Linked DNA regions of Arabidopsis thaliana. The protein of the gene in region 4 purifies or fractionates together with the protein of the main gene of each other region. This does not show direct contact. Each region holds a gene or a part of one and is shown on either strand. Other genes may lie near its edges.

Region 1 (3,899 bases), on a different chromosome or scaffold from region 4:
TAGGTGCATACTGTCTCCGGCCAACTGTCACGGTGCCACGTCGGAATTTTCCAGACAGAACATCCCAAGGAGCACGGTACCTTAAACGGTTGATATACAAAGAGTCCATATCACAATTCTTCACCATCTCTTTCCACTCTTCTGAGAATTCGCGGACTGATGCTAGTGCCAATCTTGCGATATCCTCTTGATTTTTTAAGAAGTTTGAGTCTATTTATAAAACAAATTATAAATACGTTAGTGCGTTATATGAAAACAATAGAAGTCTATGTATAGTATGAAATGTAGCATGACCGGGTTATTAATTACCTTGGGGACAATTTCGCAAAACAACAAACCAAAAGACGAGTTTGTGAGTTATAGGAAGTCGTCCGCTTACGACGTTGTCCATCTTGATTCTTATAAACTCTTGTCGGAATCCATGGTCGTCCGGGTAATTTGTGAACCCTCTGATGGCCCGCGAACCGAGGTCTTTAGTCGGGTTTAATCCTAGAAATCTAGAGACTACAGAATTTGACCCATCGCAGCCAATCAAAACCTAAATTAAAAGAAAAGTATATTATCAAAATATATAAGACCCATGCATTTCATGCTAAACATGTTGCTTTCAGTGAAAAACAAACAAAACACAAACCATTAAAACCGATCACGACCCATAAATGTCACTGTCGGCTAATATAAAGTATATACTAAAAAAATTCCACTACGGCATCACCTCAATAATTGATCAATAAATATATCTACTGTTGTTAAAACGTGCCTTTGCTTTGATAGCTTCTCCCGTTTTTAACGTGCACAATCGGAAACGATTTTGTTTCGTCGAGCTTAACCGACAAAATATGGCAACCAAGCCGGAGAGTGCCAAGAGGAAGAGCATGAGCCAAAGCTCGAACCAAGTCGTTCCTTAGTACACCTCTTACTTCTCCATAGGATGCTGGTCCAACCGATTCTCTTCGTTTAATACCTTTCTCGATCAAAACATCTCTTATCCTGTTTTAGTACCATACCGGAAATCATTATAACTAGATAAGGTTAGTTAAAATATAAATATTTATATACTTACTGATGAATTGGGAGAGACTTAAGACGAAGCTAGCTTATCGGCGACACCAAGTTGTTGAAGAGCAAGCCAGCCGTTAGTCTGAATACCAAAATGCTGCTCCTTCCGATCTTACAGACTCTGATCTCTCCAACACAACGCTCTTTATGCCCTTCCTTTATAATCATATTTGTATGTTTAGTTAGTCAATAGTTCATGTATATGTTTTCTAATTTAAATTACCTTATAATTGAGAAAATGAGGAGATTATAGTGAACCTGTGAAGAGCAAGGGAAGTTGCAAGACCAGCAATGCCTCCTCCCACGATTACTATGTCCAATTCTTCCATTCTTCTATATTTGTATTTCCTCCAAATTTTATGATCGTTATGTCCTGCAATGTCGTGGACTTATATGTGGGGGTTGAAGCCACATGGCAATATGGCATGTCGTGGTTGTACCTTGACCCGCGTATTTTTCGTTATCTATACATATTCATTCACAGCGATTTTTATTGGTATTTGTCGATTCATATATCAATTAAACTGTGTATCACACAGATCGTTATATGAAACCAATTCTGAAGAGAGAAAAAAAAGAAAAGAAAAATTTAAGCCTTCTTGTGTTAGAATTACTAATTTTAATAATTTATTTAATATTTTTACTGTATTAGTGATTAAATGTATAATTTACTTAATCTTAGAAGTATATATATATATTTAAAACAATTATTTTCTTACACGTTATACAATATTTGTAATTAATTGTATTTATTTATATTAGAAATATATATACCTTTTTCTAAAATAATATATTTTTGTTTTGTCAATTGCCCTTATAATATTAGTAATTCATTGTATGATTTCCTTATAATATTTTTACACATGAAAAAATCTCTAACTAAACATCTTTTCAATAAACTACATGAACTATCAAATTTGTTATAACTTTCAGTTATCCTCCAAAGTCCAAATATTCAAAGTGAATTATTCATGGGTTGGATTTAACAAAAATAATAATTTCGAGGTTGAAATGACAATAGATATTTTTAAAACAAAGGACCAAAGTCGAAATAACAAAACTCATCGGCCGCATTAGGTTTGGTCCTAAATCCCTAAAACCCTAAAAAAACACAATCCCTCTTAGAAACAGAGAGCTTCTCTTCTTTCTCCATTATTCATCACTTTCTTCCCCGAAGATGCGTCCTTTAGACGAGACCGAGACAACCGTCGTCTTCGAGAAGCTCTTCAAATTCGTCGGCAACAACCTCAAGAAGATCGTCGAGAACCCATCAGACGAAGGACCCGAATCTACACCCGGCAGCTACTGCTTCCGCCTCCAGAAAAACAGAGTCTACTACGTCAGCGAAGCCCTCGTGAAGCGAGCCACAAACATCTCCAGGAAAAACCTAGTCTCCTTCGGAACCTGCATCGGGAAATACACTCACGCCGGTAGTTTCCATCTGACGATTATGTCACTCAATATCTTGGCGGCGAATGCTAAACACAAGGTATGGCTTAAACCCACTTCGGAGATGTCGTTTCTTTATGGGAACCATGTCTTGAAAGGTGGATTAGGGAGGATTACTGATAGTATTGTTCCTGGAGATGGTGTTGTTGTGTTCTCGATGTCTGATGTTCCGTTAGGGTTTGGGATTGCTGCGAAGAGTACACAGGATTGTAGGAAATTGGATCCTAATGGTATTGTTGTGCTTCATCAGGCTGATATTGGAGAGTATTTGAGGGGTGAAGATGACCTTTGAAAGTTTAAAGGTTTTGTCTTTGTTGTGTCTTAGTTTGATTCTGCTTGTTGCTTTGAGTTTTAAAGTATGTAGCTGTTACAAGTTTCGTGGAACTTGGTTCTGGATCTATGAAAGTCTCGATTTTTATAAATCTGTTTTTGAGGTGTTTTGTGAGACTCTTGAGTATGTAAAAGCTAAAAAATTTACATTCATATGCGAATTTTCAAATCTGTAACCTGATGATCAAGATTTGTATTGGAGACAGGTTGAGTTTCCTGATATTGCTTTGATTTTTATACTTAAAAGCTTCAAATTCTTCATCAAGCTTGAAACTTTGGAAATTTACATACATATGCTAATTTTCAAATCTGTAACCCTAATGATTCAGATATGTGTTGGAGACAGATTGATTATGCTGATTTTTGAGACAGATTGATTATGCTGATTTTTGAGACAGATTGATTATGCTGATTTTTCTTTGGTTTTATAGTCCAAAAGCTTCAAATTGTTTTCAAGCTTCAAACTTTGGCCTTTGAGTATTAAGGGTATGTGACTGTCACAAATTTTGTGGAACATGGTATTGTATCTATGAAAGTCTCAATTGTTCTCAAACAAGAGTATCGAGAAGCTACAATTGTAAGCTGATGAATCAGTTTTCTGTATGGAAACAGATTGCTTGCTTTGATTTAAAACTTCAAAACTTATTACTGGGCATATAGGTTGTGTACTGCTGCCAAATAATCTGGAGAAGAGATGTTTAAACCAATTAAGTTCTGAAATCTTTCTGAAACAGATTGCATAACTTTTTGGGAAAGATATTGAGGGTGTTCTTTGAATAAATATGTTGTACACTGAAAATTTCCCACATTAAGAGTAGGGGATTGATATTCATCATCTTTTCAAACGTAATCTTGTAAAGTTCAACTTCAACCCAAAGTCTTGGCCTTTGTACGTTTGTTCCTCACTTGGGAATTGGGATGCAAAGCTGTGTTGCAAAATGTTTAGAAATAATATTTACTGTTATATAGTTTTTCTGGTATCATTAGTCACAAAGCCCGTCTAGCTCAGTTGGTAGAGCGCAAGGCTCTTAACCTTGTGGTCGTGGGTTCGAGCCCCACGG
Region 2 (5,585 bases), on a different chromosome or scaffold from region 4:
TTCTACTCTCCATGATAACCTTTAAGCAAGCTATTGAATTTTTGGAAACAGAAATTAAAAAAAAAATCTGAAAAGTTCTTAAGTTTAATCTTTGGTTAATAATGAAGTGGAGAACGCATACAAGTTTATGTATTTTTTCTCATCTCCACATAATTGTATTTTTTCTCTAAGTATGTTTCAAATGATACAAAATACATACTTTATCAATTATCTGATCAAATTGATGAATTTTTGAGCTTTGACGTGTTAGGTCTATCTAATAAACGTAGTAACGAATTTGGTTTTGGAAATGAAATCCGATAACCGATGATGGTGTAGAGTTAAACGATTAAACCGGGTTGGTTAAAGGTCTCGAGTCTCGACGGCTGCGGAAATCGGAAAATCACGATTGAGGACTTTGAGCTGCCACGAAGATGGCGATGAGGTTGAAATCAATGGCGACTTTGCCGAAATTGATTCAAAGTATGAGAAAAGAAGTTCCGAAGCATTCTAATCCTGTTTTGCCCTCTCTGAGACGAGCTTTTTCCCTCTATGATCAGATCAATCTCATTGACAATGTTCCTGAAGACCAGCTTCGCTTCCAAGAGTAATCAATTCCAAGCTTTCTCTATTGTTTTTCGTCGTTGATTTTGTTTTTTACCGACTGTGTTTCTGGGTTTGATTTAATGAATGATTAGGGTTTTTGGAATTGGAAATGTATAAATATGTGGTGGTTGATTGATTCTCTTCACTTACTTTGCAGATTTAATGATACGAGTTTCACTGTGAATGGAGTCAAATACGAAGGTAGCTTACTCTGTGTTGGGAATCTGTTAATGTCATGGAGTCCTCGTAAATTTTCAGAGATCACCACTGATAGGTATCTTCTCTCTTCTCAGGCCTTTGATTCTCACCAATGTTCTGTCACAACCTTATATCGATTTGAGCTGATTTTTATGACTGTGTTTGAGTGAAAGTTGTGTGCTTTTGGCAATAGATTGGTTGAAGGTTTTCAATGTTCATTGTCATGAGAGGATTTGACAGCTTTATCAATTTGAAGTGTTTGATAAAACATTTGGTTTATTTTCGACAAGTGTTCTTTTTTTTTTTTGTCATTGAGAGCAATGGCTAAACGTTTGTATATTTCTATTTCCATGGATGCAGCTTGTCTATCTTCCAGACAGTTCGACCTATTCCAGGTAATAATATTTGTGTACCCATGAGTCATCAGTATGAAAATAAAACTGTATTAGTACCTCTGGTTGATTAACTTTTGCTGCATATTAGCTTCAATCTCAGCTCTTATTAGATATTCTAAACTAAATCATCGAATTGTCCAGAGCTCTTGATTGTTGGTTGTGGAAGAGACATTCACCCGGTAACTCCCGAGGTCCGTCAGTTTGTCAAGTCCCTTGGCATGAAACTAGAAACAGTTGATTCTGTAAGTTTCTTAATCCATTTCTACAGGCTTCTTTTCTAGTCCCAAGCTTACTTCATAACTTCTTATTCGCTTATTATATTGATTACTTTTAATTCAGAGAAATGCTGCATCAACGTACAACATTCTGAATGAAGAAGGAAGAGTCGTTGCTGCGGCATTGCTTCCATATGGAGTTACATCCTAAAGAAAACTAACAACTCGAGCTCTGGCTTTCTAAACTGTAAATGGTTTTTGAGACCTTCCGAAAATAAACCGAATTTCATCGGAGTTTTTATTGCGTTTGAGCTATATAACAAACGTTGTAACATGGTGCGACTTTATCTCGCATTTCTCATCCTTCCAAAGATATAATATCTCCAGAGACTATGTTGTATCAATGAATGAGATTTAAAGAATCTGAATTACAGTTATATTTTTAACGGAAATCGTTACGGTTAGTTAAAAACTTAGAAATGAGTTTTTGAGTATATAAAGGAAGAAGAAGAAGAGAGAGTCATTTTCTTGTAGTCAAATTCGTATCTCGCGGGGAAGAAGAAGAAAAGACTGCTTTTTCTCAAAACCCTAAAATCTCTCTCTCCGGATCCATTTCTCGAACATGGCGTCTATTGTTCAACCATCGCCTACTTTCCCGGCGCTAAATCTCCGGCGTTCTTCTCTGATTCGTCCGCCTTCTTCCGTTCGATTTCCTCTTGTAAGTCTCATCTACTTCTCTCACTCTCTCCGACTATTATCTTTCTATTGGTATTTGTACTTTATACGGTCTTCTTCGCTCGAATCTGATGAATCTTGTTCTCGATTGTTTCTGTTGGTTGTGGAATTGAAAAGAAGTGTAACGCGGCGGATCCGTACAAGTTCGACGGCGGAAACTCTGCCGGTTTCCATCTGCTTACTGGCGACACCGTTCCGGCTAGCTTTTCGAGGACACGTTTGGAAGATTCGATTTATCAGAACACCACACGACTTCGTATCTTTTCCGGCACTGCTAATCCTATTTTGGCTCAGGTTCGTTCTTAGCTTTGTTAGTCGTTGGAGTTCTTTGGATTTAATTGCAAGAATTAGTAGCTTGGAACTGAAATTAGTTTAGGAAGAAACTGATATAGACTTCGGAATTAGTAGCTTAAAACTGGAGATTTGTTCAATTGCAAAGATTAGGATTAGGAAGAAATTGGTTTAGAGTATATTCTGGAATCGTCTTGTTTGTTCATTGGTGTTTTACGCTGATGATACAGGAGATTTCTTGCTATTTGGGTCTGGACCTTGGGAAAATCAAGATTAAACGCTTTGCTGATGGTGAGATCTATGTTCAGCTACAAGAGAGTGTAAGGGGATGTGATGTGTTCCTTGTACAGCCTACATGCCCACCTGCAAATGAAAACCTTATGGAATTGCTCGTTATGATTGATGCTTGTCGGAGAGCATCAGCCAAAACTATCACGGCTGTGATTCCTTACTTTGGTTATGCACGAGCTGATAGAAAGGCAAGTCTTTTTCTATAACTATAGAATCTGTCTTGGATTCAATCGTCCTGTGAAAACATGCACAATGATTTGTCTCCAAGAGTAATCGATTGTCAGTTTAAGTCAGATCTATGGTAGTTAGTATTTGGAAGTAATCAAGTAATCAAATTGGCAGCTTAGTTATCTGTATGAAGCTGATTTGGGTTTATCGATTGTCTCATTCCTCTGGCTTCACTTAGTTTCTAGTTGAGAGTTTTTCATTTGACTCTTTCGTTGTACATATTCTTGCAGACTCAAGGACGTGAATCTATTGCAGCCAAGCTTGTGGCCAATTTGATTACACAGTCTGGTGCAGACCGTGTCCTTGCTTGTGATCTTCACTCCGGACAGTCTATGGGCTACTTTGATATTCCAGTCGATCATGTTTATGGCCAGGTAGAAAAAAGTTTTTCTTAAATGACTCCTCTGAGCATCAAGTTCCTTTTTGTGAAAATAGACTTTCTTATGTCTTCTTTTCCTTGTGCTTTAATATTCATGAACAGCCTGTCATACTTGATTACCTAGCAAGTAAGGCCATATCCTCTGAAGATTTGGTGGTAGTTTCACCTGATGTTGGTGGCGTCGCAAGAGCTCGCGCTTTTGCGAAGAAGTTATCTGATGCACCTTTAGCAATAGTTGATAAAAGACGTCATGGGCACAATGTTGCAGAGGTAGAAAAACCTTTGGAAAATACATTTTAACCAAGTCTGGATTTTGACATTTAACAACCCGTTTCATGTAGGTGATGAACTTAATTGGGGATGTTAAAGGGAAAGTAGCCATAATGGTGGATGACATGATTGACACAGCAGGTGAGTAATAAGTCACGGTCTGCATATCTGTAAACATTCCCCATTGTGCTTAGATACTTACGTTAGGTATATCATATCAGGAACCATAAGCAAAGGTGCGGCTCTGTTACACCAAGAAGGAGCAAGAGAAGTATACGCTTGTACCACTCATGCCGTTTTTAGGTAAGTCCATGAAATATTTTCTCTGTGTTGGAATTATAAAAAAAGAGAAAGAAGCTGACATATGCATTTGTGTCTATATTCGGAAACAGCCCTCCTGCAATCAGTCGACTATCGAGCGGACTGTTTCAAGAGGTGATCATAACCAACACGATTCCATTGTCAGAGAAGAACTATTTTCCTCAGCTTACAGTTCTCTCAGTAGCAAACCTTCTTGGGGAGACCATATGGCGTGTTCATGATGATTGCTCGGTGAGTAAAACATAAACACTACTTGCAATTTTCGCTTGAAGAGAACTTCTGTGTCTAATAAAGTTTTTTGATATTCTCAGGGAGCCATTGAGCCATTTTCGACGTTGGGGATTGATTGAGTGATGGAAAAAGGGTAAAGAATGTACTTATAGCCTCTCAGTAGTATGAATTTCTGATAATGTACAAACTCTTTTCCGCTGTAAAAATGTTAGACTTGAGTGTGATTGTCAAGAAGGGAACACTTTTGTAGAGAAGAAGATTTAATGGAACCACGTTTTCAAACTTTTTAAGAATACAATATTTTTTTTTTCGTCAATTTGGATCCAATCATGTAGATAGTTTACCGTTGAAGATTATTTATTTGTGAAATATCTGGATTTTATTTTATTTTATTTAAAGCCAAGTTACATTTAGACCTTAAACCTATGACTTATATAAGATATAAAGCAAACATACTCAAATTTGCAAAACGAGGAGAGACAAAATTAAAAAACGGCGGCCAAGACACCAACAAACGGAGCAACAGTAACCGTCGCAGGCTCAGCTTGCTGGAAATTACTCCTCTCATCTCCATAAACATCGTTCTCGTTGGGTCCTCCGACAAGTGCTCCCATTAAAACGTTAGGGTTTGGTGCAGGATTGTTATACCATTTATCATACCCTCCACTACACGTCACTGGTGTTTTGTCCTTTCTGATCGATACTATGGAGGCTGCTCTATGGTGTGGTTTTTTGGGATAATTGGTCCCAACTCCAACCATGTAGCTCATTTTCTGGGGGTTCGACCCAAGTATATAGTCAACCTATATAACATGAGGAAATCGCAAATTAGTATATATTATATTGAAAAAAGTCTTGATATATTTTCAACAACATGTTTTATAGTTGGTACTATATTAGGTTTTATTAACTACCTGGGAACGAGCGATTTGGAGAAGATCAGAAGCTTGAAGAGCACCTTTGGGACATTGGATGGAGGCTTTTGCCTTTGTGAGATACTTAGAATATGCTGAGAGAACGAAAGAAGCGGTTGTGGTGTATTGGAGGTTGTTCCACGGCAAGAAGTAGAGCAAACCGCCAGGGGTTTTCTTAACGTTGTTGGAACCTTTTTGAGCACAGTTGCAGATAAACTGCTCTGCCATACTCTTGTACTCTGCGATCTTTCCATTGCTCCCTACTTTCCGTTCAAGTGCAAGCTGCATTTGCAAAACTTTGTGTTATGTTTGTTTCTTGCCACATAAGATAGTGATATGTTTTCTTTAGTGAAATAGTCATAACTTACCTTGGCCATCAAGACTTGTGCACCCACGAACTTATCGTCCCAGGCAAAAACACTTCTTGGACCTCCGGTACCAGATGCTTGTGTTAGGTAATTGAGATAAATCTGGTCGTTAGTAGCACGGTGGAGCCAAGCTGCAGCCCACAACAACTCATCTTCGTATCCAC
Region 3 (4,340 bases), 1.3 Mb from region 4:
ATTAAGCTAGAGATGGATAATGCTTTTATGTCTCATTTGGAAAATTTTATCCTCGTTTTAGAACTAATATATATTGATGCAACATTTTCGTCCAATGATTGTATCTCCATCAGTCTTTTCTATGCTTGTTTTTGCTTGGCTATAAGAACTACTGTCCATTTTAATCCTACTTGTTTCTGCATGCTGAATTGATTGTTGAAGTAGTTTGTTTTGAACATGATTATGCTCAAGAAAAGGCGTAAAAGTATCACTTAGCTCTGAAAGGAACTCATTTTTTTTTGGTTAATAAAATTTTAAACACAAACAAACCGACTAAGTGTTATTGACATAAGTCTCAATACAGTTTCAAGTAATATTCGGCTTCTTCCACTATTGGATCAAAGTTATAGGCGCCTTCTTCCATCGGTAGCGCATTTTTAAGTATTGCCAATTGGCGTGACCAATGAAAATAGTAAGTTTCAAAAGAAAACGGGTAATCAGCAGAGGTAGAATCATTGTGGCGTCTCAAATCTTTAATTTTCTCAAAACAACGCTTCTCTAGATTCCCGACAAGGTTGATACATTGGCGTAAATCGAGGTGTTCCAGGTGAGGACAACCGTCAAGAATGGCGTTTAAGCCTGTTTTGGTTAGTTTGTTCCCACAAAGCTGGAGATGGCGTAGTTTAGGCATGCTTTCTGCAATTGCTATGGCATCATGATCATCATCATCCGAACTTAAGTAAAAGAGGCGGTTTAGCATCAATGTCTTCAGATTTGGACAAGACAGCCCTGCAAGTTTCATAGACTCTCCTGACAATGATATTCCTGAAACCTCAAGCTCTTCAAGCATTGGAAGTTTCACAACTGCTTGAACAAATCCATCGTCTGTTATTTCTGAGCACATTAGTCTAAGGCTTCTAAGATTACTTGACCTACAAGTAATGGTGTGTAAAAAGTTATAAATCATAATCTTGAGATATCTGTTTTTAACAGACACTTGAAGACTTACATGAAAAGTAATCAAAAGTCAAAACTAGAATTAGAGGAGAACCTCTCCGCGATGTATGTAAGGAGAGAATCACTCCCGAAGTCCCCAATGTTGATCTCCAGCAAGCCACCCTCGCTACGATCAACGGCGTTACGACATATCGCCTCAGGATTGTTCACCAGTACTGGTTTGTTGTAACTCAAGATTCGCATGTCGATTTTACGCCATATGGATGGGTCTTTACAAACATATCGTCACGATCTACACACTTTCTGAGCGTTCTCCAGTATCTCAGTCACGCTAAGACGTAGCAGAATCAAACACATCAAATCCGTCGGAAGATCCGCCCAGTTTTTTGGCTCTTCGTTTTTCATCAGTGAAGACAGCGGATCCATTTCTGATGAGGATCAAAATGTCAAATCTGTGAAATATATATATCAGAAAGTCATTTAGTTTTAGGCCTTCTTTGATTATTTGTAGATTCTAAGTAGTTTTTGGTTTTAGTTTTAGGCCTTGAATGGTAGTAGATTCTAAAATGGTTTCTAGTTTGCATAAAAAAGTTTCCTGAAAAGCTAAGAAATCTAAATTTTTAATTTTTTATTAATTAATGAAAAGCAAAAAAAAAAAATCTATTTATGCAAACTAGACACCATTTTAGAATTTACAATCATTCAAGGCCTTAATTGTTTATTAACTAATGAAAAAAAAATCAATTTTATGAGTTTTTTGTCCAACTTCGTGTGATTTTTTTTCCTCTTCTTGTTTTGTTTAAACTAATGATTGTTTTGGACTTTAAAGTCAGAAGGCATCTCTGATTACTTGATCTGCAATATAAAGTTATAACAATAAGATGCAAAATTTTACAATCTAGTCCTTATGGCACTAAGTTTACGAAAACAATTCATGTCTAATAAGCCCATTACCTGAATTAATTATTGGGCCTTAAGCTCCTAATATTCTGACCTTTTGTATTTCAAAATCATGTATTCCTTGCATAACAAGAAATCTGATGGTGGTGATTCGATAAAAAGAGTTCGATAGGATCTGAAATCTTCCTACAAGAAGTAAACTGTTTAACAGAATTTGTTAAATGTAATAAATAAAAACTTTTCCATATTTATCGGAAAAATAAATGGAACCTTTCCAGCTTTCCTATACCAACTCCAAATTCCAATAGATAAACATTCTTAAACCCTAGCAGGGGCTCGATAAAAACTAAAAAATAAAAAAACCAAACACGAAAGCTGCAAACATCGATTAACATCAACCTTCTCTTTGTTGCTTTCGCTCTCGCTCTATAGCAAAGATGAAACCTCCCCAAAGAGGTTAGAACCCTAGCAGCCGTTTTGTTTTACTACTTGTTTAATTTCTCTGTTCGACCTATAGTATAGGGTTGAGGGTTGTTAACTCCAAATTCGTTTTGTCACAATATATCTACCTGAATTGCTTGTTACGTAAACTGTTTTGAGTCTTCACTTCTTCAATCCAAGTTTAATAGGAGATTTAATAATACTCTCTTCTGATTAGTTAATTTCGGTTTTATCTGTATGATTATGCTCAGGACGTGGTGGTGGTGTTAGAGGTGGAAGAGGTTTAGCCAGAGGCGGTGAAGGAAGTGCCGTAAGAGGCAGTGGAAGAGGCGGCGAAAGTGGCCGTGGAAGAGGGCCTGGAAGAGTTAAAAGTGAATCGGACGGTGGAATTAAGGGAGGAAGCAAAGTGTTAGTGACACCACACAGGCACGCAGGAGTGTTTGTTGCCAAAAGTAAAGCAGATGCTCTTGTAACCAAGAACTTAGTTCCTGGTGAAATCATTTACAATGAGAAGAGAATCTTTGTTCAGAACGAAGACCGATCTACTGTTGAATACAGAGTTTGGAACCCTCATAGATCTAAGTTAGCTGATGCTATTACCACTGGTGTTGATAACATTTGGATCGTAAGTCCCATAACTTAAAGTAACAATCTCTTTTATTCTTCTGTTACCGAAACTAATGAATACTTGTTTCTTGAAATTGTAGAAACCTGGTGTTAAAGTTCTGTACCTTGGTGCTTCTTCTGGATACACCGTGTCTCATGTCTCTGACATTGTTGGTCCAGTAAGTGAACACTAAACCTTAAACCCTAACTTTTAAGATTGAGTGAGTGTTTTCTCTCTATGTTACTTATATCTAGCTTTTCTGATTGGTAGGAGGGATGTGTTTACGCTGTTGAGCATTCTGATATTTGTGGTAAAGTTTTGATGAACATGGCGGAGAAGAGAACTAATGTTATACCAATCATTGAAGATGCTAGACATCCTGCTAAATATAGAATGCTTGTGGGAATGGTTGATATCATATTCTCTGATGTTAATCACCCTGAGCAAGCTAACATATTAAGTCTCAATGCTTCTTATTTCCTCAAATCTGGAGGGCACTTTATGATCTCTATAAAGGTTTGTAACAAAACTTTTTTGACCATTGATTCAAATCAAAATCATTCTCTTTTTAGTGTGCATTGTTTGGTTAACTCTAAGTTACTTGTTTCAGGCGAATTCTATAGACTCAACAATTGCAGCAGAAACTGTGTATCAGATGGAAGTGGAGAAGTTACAAATGGAAGAGTTGAGACCAACAGAGATATTGCATCTTGACTCTTGTGAGGAAAAGCATGCTTGTGTTTTTGGTGGATATCGCTTGCCTAGGAAGTAAAAAGCTGATACTGCTATCTAATTAGGAAGCTGATACTCTTTACTTAGTTTGTGATTGTTAAAATTCATACACATTCATGAGGCTTTAAAATTATTATTTTTCTCTGATTCTCACTGTGATTTGTCTTCTAACTAGTATGAGTTTTAAGAAGTTGAGTTTTGCAAAAACAAAAGGTAGAATACACATACATTTTGAGTTGAATTCTAGTATTTATATTTTGGTTTGTTTTATCGAACGTGGAACTAACACAACGTTACATTGAAGAATCATTCATTGTGATTTGAGATTTTCAATGTGATTTTAAAAGTTTGTTATCGATAATATGATTTTGTGGAAGTGTAATTTCAAATTTGTAGACAGAAAGTGAAACTCTGCTTGTTCATCAATTTATGTTTCCTTAGACATAATTGATAAATACATTGTTTTGTGTTTATGACAAAGAGAAGACGATAATTAGCTGAAAATAATCACATTATTCAAATATGTTCCAAAGAATAAAATTTTTGCACTATTTGCTATTTTCAGTTCTGCCTTCTAATAGATTAAACTTTCGTAATGAACTTCATCCTTGAAAATTTAAGAGTAAATTTGAAATTGGTCATCAGGTCATGTATTAAAGGGAAAAATAACAAAATAAAAATGTCAGAAGTGGGATTTGAACCCACGCCCTCTTACGAGGACCAG
Region 4 (7,152 bases):
GATGGAAGAACTCAATTCGATCTGAGTTTTAGTAAAGTAATTTAATGAATCGTAAATCTTAAAAATCATGAAAAATCACTTGCAAGAAAGTGAGAAACAACCTATGGACCACAATAACAAGAATTTGTCGTAAAACAAAGAAAAGGTTTTAAGTTTTGTTGGAAACTTACTTGGTCAATTCTACTCGTGGTAATGTGGTGGACAAGCCTTAAATCGCGATTACAAGCTTAGAGAATGTTGTAAAGAAATACTCCAAGAAGATGGCATATTTATAGGACGAGAAGAACAAAAATAAAAAAATTTGGATATCCATCGCAGTTATTACAGATTCTTTATTTCTATAAATAGATTCCTAAATCGTTGCGTTTTGATTCTATATTCTATTTTTGTAAATTAAAAGTCCATGCATGGTTAGATATTGCACTGTCGTCTAGGTTCATTTTTACGTTTCTATTGCCAGCTCTAACGATTTTGACTGTGATTCATCTTTAATTAGATAATTAAGATCTATTGCCAGCTAGCTCTATTGCCATATTAATTACATAATTATCTCTAAGACTAAAAGATCATGTTCTGATGAAACTTGTCAACTTGACATGTCTCTAACTGCCAAAACTTATGAATTTAATGTACGTAGAACTTTTTAATATTGACTCCGATGACTTATTTGATGTTTGAAATCATGTGTAACAACTTTTGGCTCGATAGGCCTAATATATTTATTAGCTTTTCACAACCAGATTCTTGAATGAGACTTTTCTAGCCGTCATGTGAAAATGATGTAGCTAATAAATGGTCTTCTTTTTTTATGAATAACACCGACTCAAAGGTAATTTCAATGAGAAAAATATGAGCATTTTAGGTATGTCCTCAAACAAATTAAAACTGTATTCAAATAATTGATCATCTTGCTACATTATATAATAGAGGTGGTGATCAAACATCATAGCATAGTCATATTGTTAAGATGTCTCAAACATCGTCGCATTAGGTCTGAATCGGCAGGGCCGGTCCATATACTAATAAGTAATAACCAAATGTTATGAACTACGCGAGTGTAAATAACATAAGATGTTAAAATGGTTGGTGAACGTGCATTAAATTGTTCTACTGAACGCGTTATTGGTTTTAAGCATGTCGATATTTGTAGAGATTGTAATATGTTGTACGTATTAGAGATTAATATAAACGCGTTATTGATATGTATATTACATTTGATATCATGCGTTTGCGGACAAATAAATATCTTTATTATATACATCATATCGTCACATGTAATGTGTCACTATATATAATAGAAAAGAAATCAACTTAAATGATTGTAGTCCAATCCCCCTATATAGTCGTATATATCTCATCGGTCAAGACACATATGACATAACCAATTTTTAGTTTGAGTGTTCTACATGCACGCATGTATTCAACGAATGGGTTAAACGTTAACTCGTTCTCGTAAGATTATTTTTACATAAAACAGTGAATCTTTTTATTGGTAAATATACATAAAACTGATAATAGTAATAATCTAATTTAGCAACTAGTTTATCCTCAGAATCATTAGATACGTTACTGATCTATTATGATTGCTTAGTGATTAGATAGAGCCGATATCAACTCAGTTTGTACGCACAAGACAGAAGACTAATGAATAATGACAATATATATTCTCGACCCATTTCACACAATGCTAGTACAAGATAAGGTGCTTTCGTGTCATAGAGATTTTGACAAATTGATTATAACTTCCGTTGACTGATGGGAGCGAAATTGACAAAACCATTAACAGATTATGAGCAAGTTCTCAAGATTTTTTAGTTTTCTTTCTCTCTCGGTCCCAAAAGAAAAGATGACAATAGCTAGCATCAACTTGTTAGAAAAAGACGATGAACAAGTTTGAGAATTGGACCACTGAAAATCCAATTTCCACCCAACCAATTATTCTACTATTAGTGGAAAAACGTGGTCAACCATCTTTGTCAACTTCGCCAATATGCTTTTCAACTTCTTAATTAATGCCTCAAATCTCGGAACTACATTTTGTCACAACGCTAAAGATAAAAGAGAACTAAAAGTAGAAAAACAAGAGTTTGTGAAAGTTTACAAGTTTTTTTTGTAGAGAGAATTTTAACCGTGTTAATGTTTTGTTCCAAATGTTTTTGTTTGTTTTGGAAAAACAAAAATTTGGTTGTTTTTATTTCACAAGTTCAAGAGCACGCTTGTACCAACAAGATCGATGATCGTGTTGTTTCGATTCGTGTCGAAGTTGACACCGTTTCGTTGTCTTGTTTATTGATCGAGACATATTTGTTTTTGGTTGTGGAACAAAATTTTAAAGTATATTGCGTGTTCACACTAGTTTGAAAGTTGTGTGCGTATGAATAAACATATCGAATAATCAATAACAAGGCACCATATAGTTATTGGGCTCAATTTGTTTTAAATTGGGCCGATAATTATTTAGGCAAAAGCCCAATAATAGACACCAGTCAAATATACCTTTGTGTACTCCAACAATCATCATCTTCTACTTCTTCTCTTAAACCCTGGCCGCGCGAGAAAACCCTAATTCAAACCTGTAGCCATGCCTGCCCTCACTCGTAACAAGAAGAAGGCTGCGACGAAATCGATAACCCCTCCAACGAAGCAGCTTACCAAATCCAAAACCCCTCCAATGAAACCCCAAACTTCAATGTTGAAGAAAGGAGCGAAATCTCAGAACAAACCTCCATTGAAGAAGCAGAAGAAGGAAGTTGTGGAGGAAGAGCCTCTAGAAGATTACGAAGTTACCGATGATTCTGATGAAGATGACGAAGTTTCCGATGGTTCTGATGAAGATGATATTTCTCCAGCTGTGGAATCAGAAGAGATTGATGAATCTGATGATGGAGAGAACGGGTCTAATCAGTTATTCTCTGATGATGAGGAAGAGAACGATGAAGAGACTTTGGGTGACGATTTTCTAGAAGGTAGCGGCGATGAAGATGAGGAAGGATCTTTAGATGCGGATTCGGATGCTGACTCTGACGACGACGATATTGTGGCGAAATCTGATGCTATTGATAGAGACTTAGCAATGCAGAAGAAAGATGCTGCTGCTGAACTGGAGGATTTTATCAAGCAAGATGATGTACATGATGAAGAACCTGAACATGATGCGTTTAGGCTACCAACTGAAGAGGTAACATTTTTTTCATGTGTAATACTTACTCTGTTTGATTTTGGTTTTAGCATATATCTAACTGTTGTTGTTATCTTTCATTTGTCCAGGAGCTTGAAGAAGAAGCTCGTGGTCCACCAGATCTTCCTCTACTTAAGACTAGAATTGAAGAGAGTTAGTAACATTTCCAAATTTTGTTGCTTTATTACTGTTGAAATGTTGGTGTGATGGTATTTATCTAGGTTGGTTTGGATTGGTGTTCTAATTGTTGATTCATTTAACATTTCAGTTGTTAGAGCTCTTAAAAATTTTAAGGCTTTCAGGCCAAAAGACACCACGAGGAAAGCTTGTGTTGAACAGCTCAAAGCTGATCTCGGTTCTTATTATGGTTATAACAGTTTTCTTATTGGAACTTTGGTTGAGGTGAGACTCTCTAGTTTCTTTCCTTTGATATAGTATGGATAGGATGTTGCTGATATTCTTTACTTATGGATGTTGAATTGGGATTTCTCTTGCAGATGTTTCCTCCTGGTGAACTTATGGAACTTATTGAAGCTTTTGAAAAGCAAAGGCCTACGTCCATCCGAACTAACACACTTAAGGTGAACTTGGTTGTGACTTACTGGGTTGTAGCTTATGACTTTCAAGTTCTGCAATTTCATGGTGATGTATGTTTTGCTTTAGACTCGAAGACGGGATCTTGCTGATGTACTTTTGAACAGAGGAGTCAATCTAGACCCATTAAGCAAGTGGTCTAAAGTAAGTAGTTTGTTCTTACTATTTTCTATTCTGTCAGTCCTATTTTTATGAATCTTCTATTGTTGATCTGTCCTAAGTCTTATTTACTGATGTCCTACTGCAGGTTGGACTTGTTATTTATGATTCACAAGTCCCAATTGGTGCAACTCCTGAATATCTGGCTGGGTACTACATGGTAAGTGATCTTCTGATGTCTTTCCCTTTTCTTCACCTTTATGGAATGCAATTGTTTGCTTAAGTCTCTCTACTTGGTGTATTTGCAGCTTCAAGGTGCTAGTTCGTTTTTGCCAGTGATGGCCCTTGCCCCTCGAGAGAATGAGCGGATTGTGGATGTAGCGTAAGTTATCATCATCTACTCATCTACTAAACAATCGCTGCAGCTAAAAAGCGTTTGACCTTGTTGGCGTGTGATGATTCCAATTCTAGTGTTTGACTGTTTTGTTGTGTGAGTTTATAACAAGATTTTATATCGATGCAGTGCTGCTCCTGGTGGTAAAACAACTTATATCGCCGCTCTAATGAAAAATACGGGTATGTCTTCATTGGTTTCTCTTGCTTCTTATCCCCATATTCTATTTGGCTGTCGTATGTTTTTTTTTTTTGGTTTAAGTAATGTTTATAATGATGCTATTACCAGGCTTAATATATGCGAATGAGATGAAAGTACCTAGGCTTAAGTCGCTAACTGCCAATCTGCATCGTATGGGGGTCACAAATACCATAGTTTGTAACTATGATGGAAGAGAGGTTAGCTTCTTGAACATTGATTTTTCTGTTGAATTTCTGCTACCTGTTCACAAAATGTTAAAAACCCCGTAACATCTACTTGAATTCACACTACTGAAATGACTGGAATTATAAAATTTGATCTGGTTAATTTTGCTCAACATGCTGCCCAGTTTTATTTTCTTGCACTTATTCTTTATTTCGTTATCTTTGCTGCTGTCAGCTACCCAAGGTTTTAGGTCAGAACACGGTTGATAGAGTATTGTTGGATGCGCCTTGCAGTGGGACTGGAGTAAGGAACTTCGAACTTACTCTCTGTTAAACTGTAGTTAAGTTTTAGATCCTTGTTACTAAATCTCCTCTGCTACCCAATACAGATTATATCAAAAGATGAATCAGTTAAAATAACGAAAACCATGGATGAGATAAAGAAATTTGCTCACTTGCAAAAGGTATGGCAGTACCTTCTTAAATAACTTCTATTATATCTGAACAGACCAATTTTCATTCTTAAACACATGCTAAGTTAACCCTTTTTTGTTCATGAAGCAACTTCTACTCGCTGCTATTGATATGGTGGATGCCAATTCCAAAACCGGTGGATATATAGTTTATTCAACATGTTCAATTATGGTTACTGAGGTTAGTTAACTGATAATTTCCCCCATAATTTTCTTCTTTGTATTTGATTCATCCTAATTTTTCTTTATGTATGAAAAAATTGTGCAGAATGAAGCCGTCATTGACTATGCCCTCAAAAAGAGGGATGTTAAACTCGTTACGTGTGGTCTCGATTTTGGCAGAAAAGGGTAATGCACAAGTTTTTCATCTGAGGGATATTTAAAGGAACATTAAATAATGTCTCTAACTCTTTGTCCTTCTTCTCTTCATCAGATTTACCAGATTTAGAGAACACCGGTTTCAGCCATCTTTGGACAAGACTAGACGTTTCTATCCTCATGTACACAACATGGACGGATTTTTTGTGGCAAAGGTACTCACTTTTGGCCATTGTAATCGATCAACCATGCACTTGTCAATACTCTAATAGTTGATATAATCCACACAATTTGATGTAATGCTCTTGTGTTCTTTTTCTTTATACAGCTGAAGAAAATGAGCAACGTGAAGCAATCTTCAGAAGAAGGTGATGATGATGCGGTAGAAACTGTAGAGCAAGCTGAAGTGTCTAGTGATGATGATGATGAAGCTGAGGCCATTGAAGAGACGGAGAAGCCTTCTGTTCCCGTTAGGCAACCTAAGGAAAGAAAAGAAAAAAAGAACAAGGAAAAACTTGCAAAATCAAAGGAGGACAAGAGAGGTAAAAAGGATAAGAAATCAAAATCTGAAAATGTGGAAGAGCCATCTAAACCAAGGAAGCAAAAGAAGAAGAGACGGGAATGGAAGAACGAAATAGCTCAAGCTAGGTATATAAATATCTATCCCCATCCATGAACTGAGAGAACAAAATGCTTTAGACTTGTCTTTTATATATAGTTGCTTGACAATGATTTGTATAATCACGTTTGCAGGGAAGAGAAAAGAATAGCCATGCGGGAGAAGGCGAAGGAGGAGAAGTAATGATGATTCAGTGTTTTTTCATCAAAGAGAAGAAAAAACATTTGCGAAAACGTTATCATCTATGGTTATAGTAGGCTTGTGCCATATATTGGCTTTCTTGTTTTTGTTTATTCACGACGAGATTTGTGCAACGTTAAAAGCACCCAGAGTGAGCACTCTGTTGGACTCCGTGGGCAGACCACCTTAAATGTCCAAAAGTTTTGTTTCAGAAAAAAATCTTTTAAGAGAATCAAAGTTAAGTTGTGTTCTTGAGCCGATCACTAAATTGCTGTTATTTTTACTCAAGAACCAAACTAGGGGTGGCCAAAAAAAAAACTATAACTACTAACCTAAATATTTTTTATTTCGAAAAACCCAACATTTTTTAACCTAAATGTAGTTGGAACAAACCGAAATGAATATACTAAATTTTGTTAATTTTAAGTTCAAATGATTAATTATCAACTTTTTAATTAATTTGTTAATTCATCACTTCATATGTTGGAATTGACTCAAACCAAACTATATCAAACCATAATTGTATGAAACCAAACAAAATATATGAAATTGAAAGGCTCAGAATTGTTTCAGTTTAGTTTTTCTTATTTTTCAGAGAACTGTTTTTTAAAAAAAATTAGGGATTTGGCAGTGAGCTGTTGATTGGTTGTAAGAAGTTAGAGAGAGAGATTGAGAAACTCTCACACCAAAGTGGGACTTGTGTTGGAGAACATGACAACCCATTCTTCATCTATCTTTGTCAGATCTTGTTTGGGGACCTCTCAATTTTAATTTGATTATTTATCCTTAACTCTTCCTTTTTCTTTTTTTATTTGCATTATTCATTCTTTTTATAAATATGTATTTCAAATAATCGAAAATCATTAAAGATATCTAACTGGTCGATTATATGTTCCAATCAATCAATTTTTGTATTATTATGGTATGAATAA

What was found.
Region 1: the proteins of OLI2 (region 4) and AT4G15770 fractionate together in Arabidopsis thaliana (co-fractionation; one large-scale study listed by BioGRID). This does not show direct contact.
Region 2: the proteins of OLI2 (region 4) and AT2G44530 fractionate together in Arabidopsis thaliana (co-fractionation; one large-scale study listed by BioGRID). This does not show direct contact.
Region 3: the proteins of OLI2 (region 4) and AT5G52490 fractionate together in Arabidopsis thaliana (co-fractionation; one large-scale study listed by BioGRID). This does not show direct contact.

What each region holds. Positions count from the first base shown.
Region 1 is NC_003075.7:8,975,824-8,979,722, forward strand, and holds AT4G15770 (RNA binding protein), read left to right. Parts: upstream 1-2,071; 5' UTR 2,072-2,236; coding exon 2,237-2,800; 3' UTR 2,801-3,121; downstream 3,122-3,899. Other genes in the region: AT4G15765 (FAD/NAD(P)-binding oxidoreductase family protein), read right to left, coding at 1-210, 310-538, 792-990, 1,150-1,215, 1,318-1,388.
Region 2 is NC_003071.7:18,381,717-18,387,301, forward strand, and holds AT2G44530 (Phosphoribosyltransferase family protein), read left to right. Parts: upstream 1-1,798; 5' UTR 1,799-2,015; coding exon 2,016-2,111; intron 2,112-2,245; coding exon 2,246-2,422; intron 2,423-2,649; coding exon 2,650-2,898; intron 2,899-3,168; coding exon 3,169-3,312; intron 3,313-3,419; coding exon 3,420-3,587; intron 3,588-3,658; coding exon 3,659-3,728; intron 3,729-3,808; coding exon 3,809-3,890; intron 3,891-3,979; coding exon 3,980-4,139; intron 4,140-4,219; coding exon 4,220-4,258; 3' UTR 4,259-4,492; downstream 4,493-5,585. Other genes in the region: COX10 (cytochrome c oxidase 10), read left to right, coding at 1-15; AT2G44525 (NADH dehydrogenase ubiquinone 1 alpha subcomplex assembly factor-like protein (DUF498/DUF598)), read left to right, coding at 414-586, 743-859, 1,144-1,178, 1,320-1,420, 1,518-1,604; GH9B9 (glycosyl hydrolase 9B9), read right to left, coding at 4,625-4,942, 5,054-5,335, 5,422-5,585.
Region 3 is NC_003076.8:21,296,584-21,300,923, forward strand, and holds AT5G52490 (Fibrillarin family protein), read left to right. Parts: upstream 1-2,273; coding exon 2,274-2,292; intron 2,293-2,528; coding exon 2,529-2,902; intron 2,903-2,984; coding exon 2,985-3,062; intron 3,063-3,154; coding exon 3,155-3,400; intron 3,401-3,494; coding exon 3,495-3,656; downstream 3,657-4,340. Other genes in the region: AT5G52480 (RNI-like superfamily protein), read right to left, coding at 335-911, 1,031-1,179. UniProt on the Arabidopsis thaliana protein: S-adenosyl-L-methionine-dependent methyltransferase that has the ability to methylate both RNAs and proteins. Involved in pre-rRNA processing.
Region 4 is NC_003076.8:22,644,813-22,651,964, reverse strand, and holds OLI2 (S-adenosyl-L-methionine-dependent methyltransferases superfamily protein), read left to right. Parts: upstream 1-2,447; 5' UTR 2,448-2,581; coding exon 2,582-3,178; intron 3,179-3,267; coding exon 3,268-3,331; intron 3,332-3,446; coding exon 3,447-3,580; intron 3,581-3,675; coding exon 3,676-3,759; intron 3,760-3,841; coding exon 3,842-3,916; intron 3,917-4,019; coding exon 4,020-4,091; intron 4,092-4,179; coding exon 4,180-4,253; intron 4,254-4,394; coding exon 4,395-4,447; intron 4,448-4,553; coding exon 4,554-4,663; intron 4,664-4,865; coding exon 4,866-4,934; intron 4,935-5,019; coding exon 5,020-5,094; intron 5,095-5,191; coding exon 5,192-5,284; intron 5,285-5,371; coding exon 5,372-5,451; intron 5,452-5,536; coding exon 5,537-5,636; intron 5,637-5,749; coding exon 5,750-6,069; intron 6,070-6,174; coding exon 6,175-6,223; 3' UTR 6,224-6,517; downstream 6,518-7,152. UniProt on the Arabidopsis thaliana protein: Involved in ribosomal large subunit assembly, required for normal progression of rRNA processing. S-adenosyl-L-methionine-dependent methyltransferase that probably methylates the C(5) position of cytosine 2268 (m5C2268) in nuclear 25S rRNA.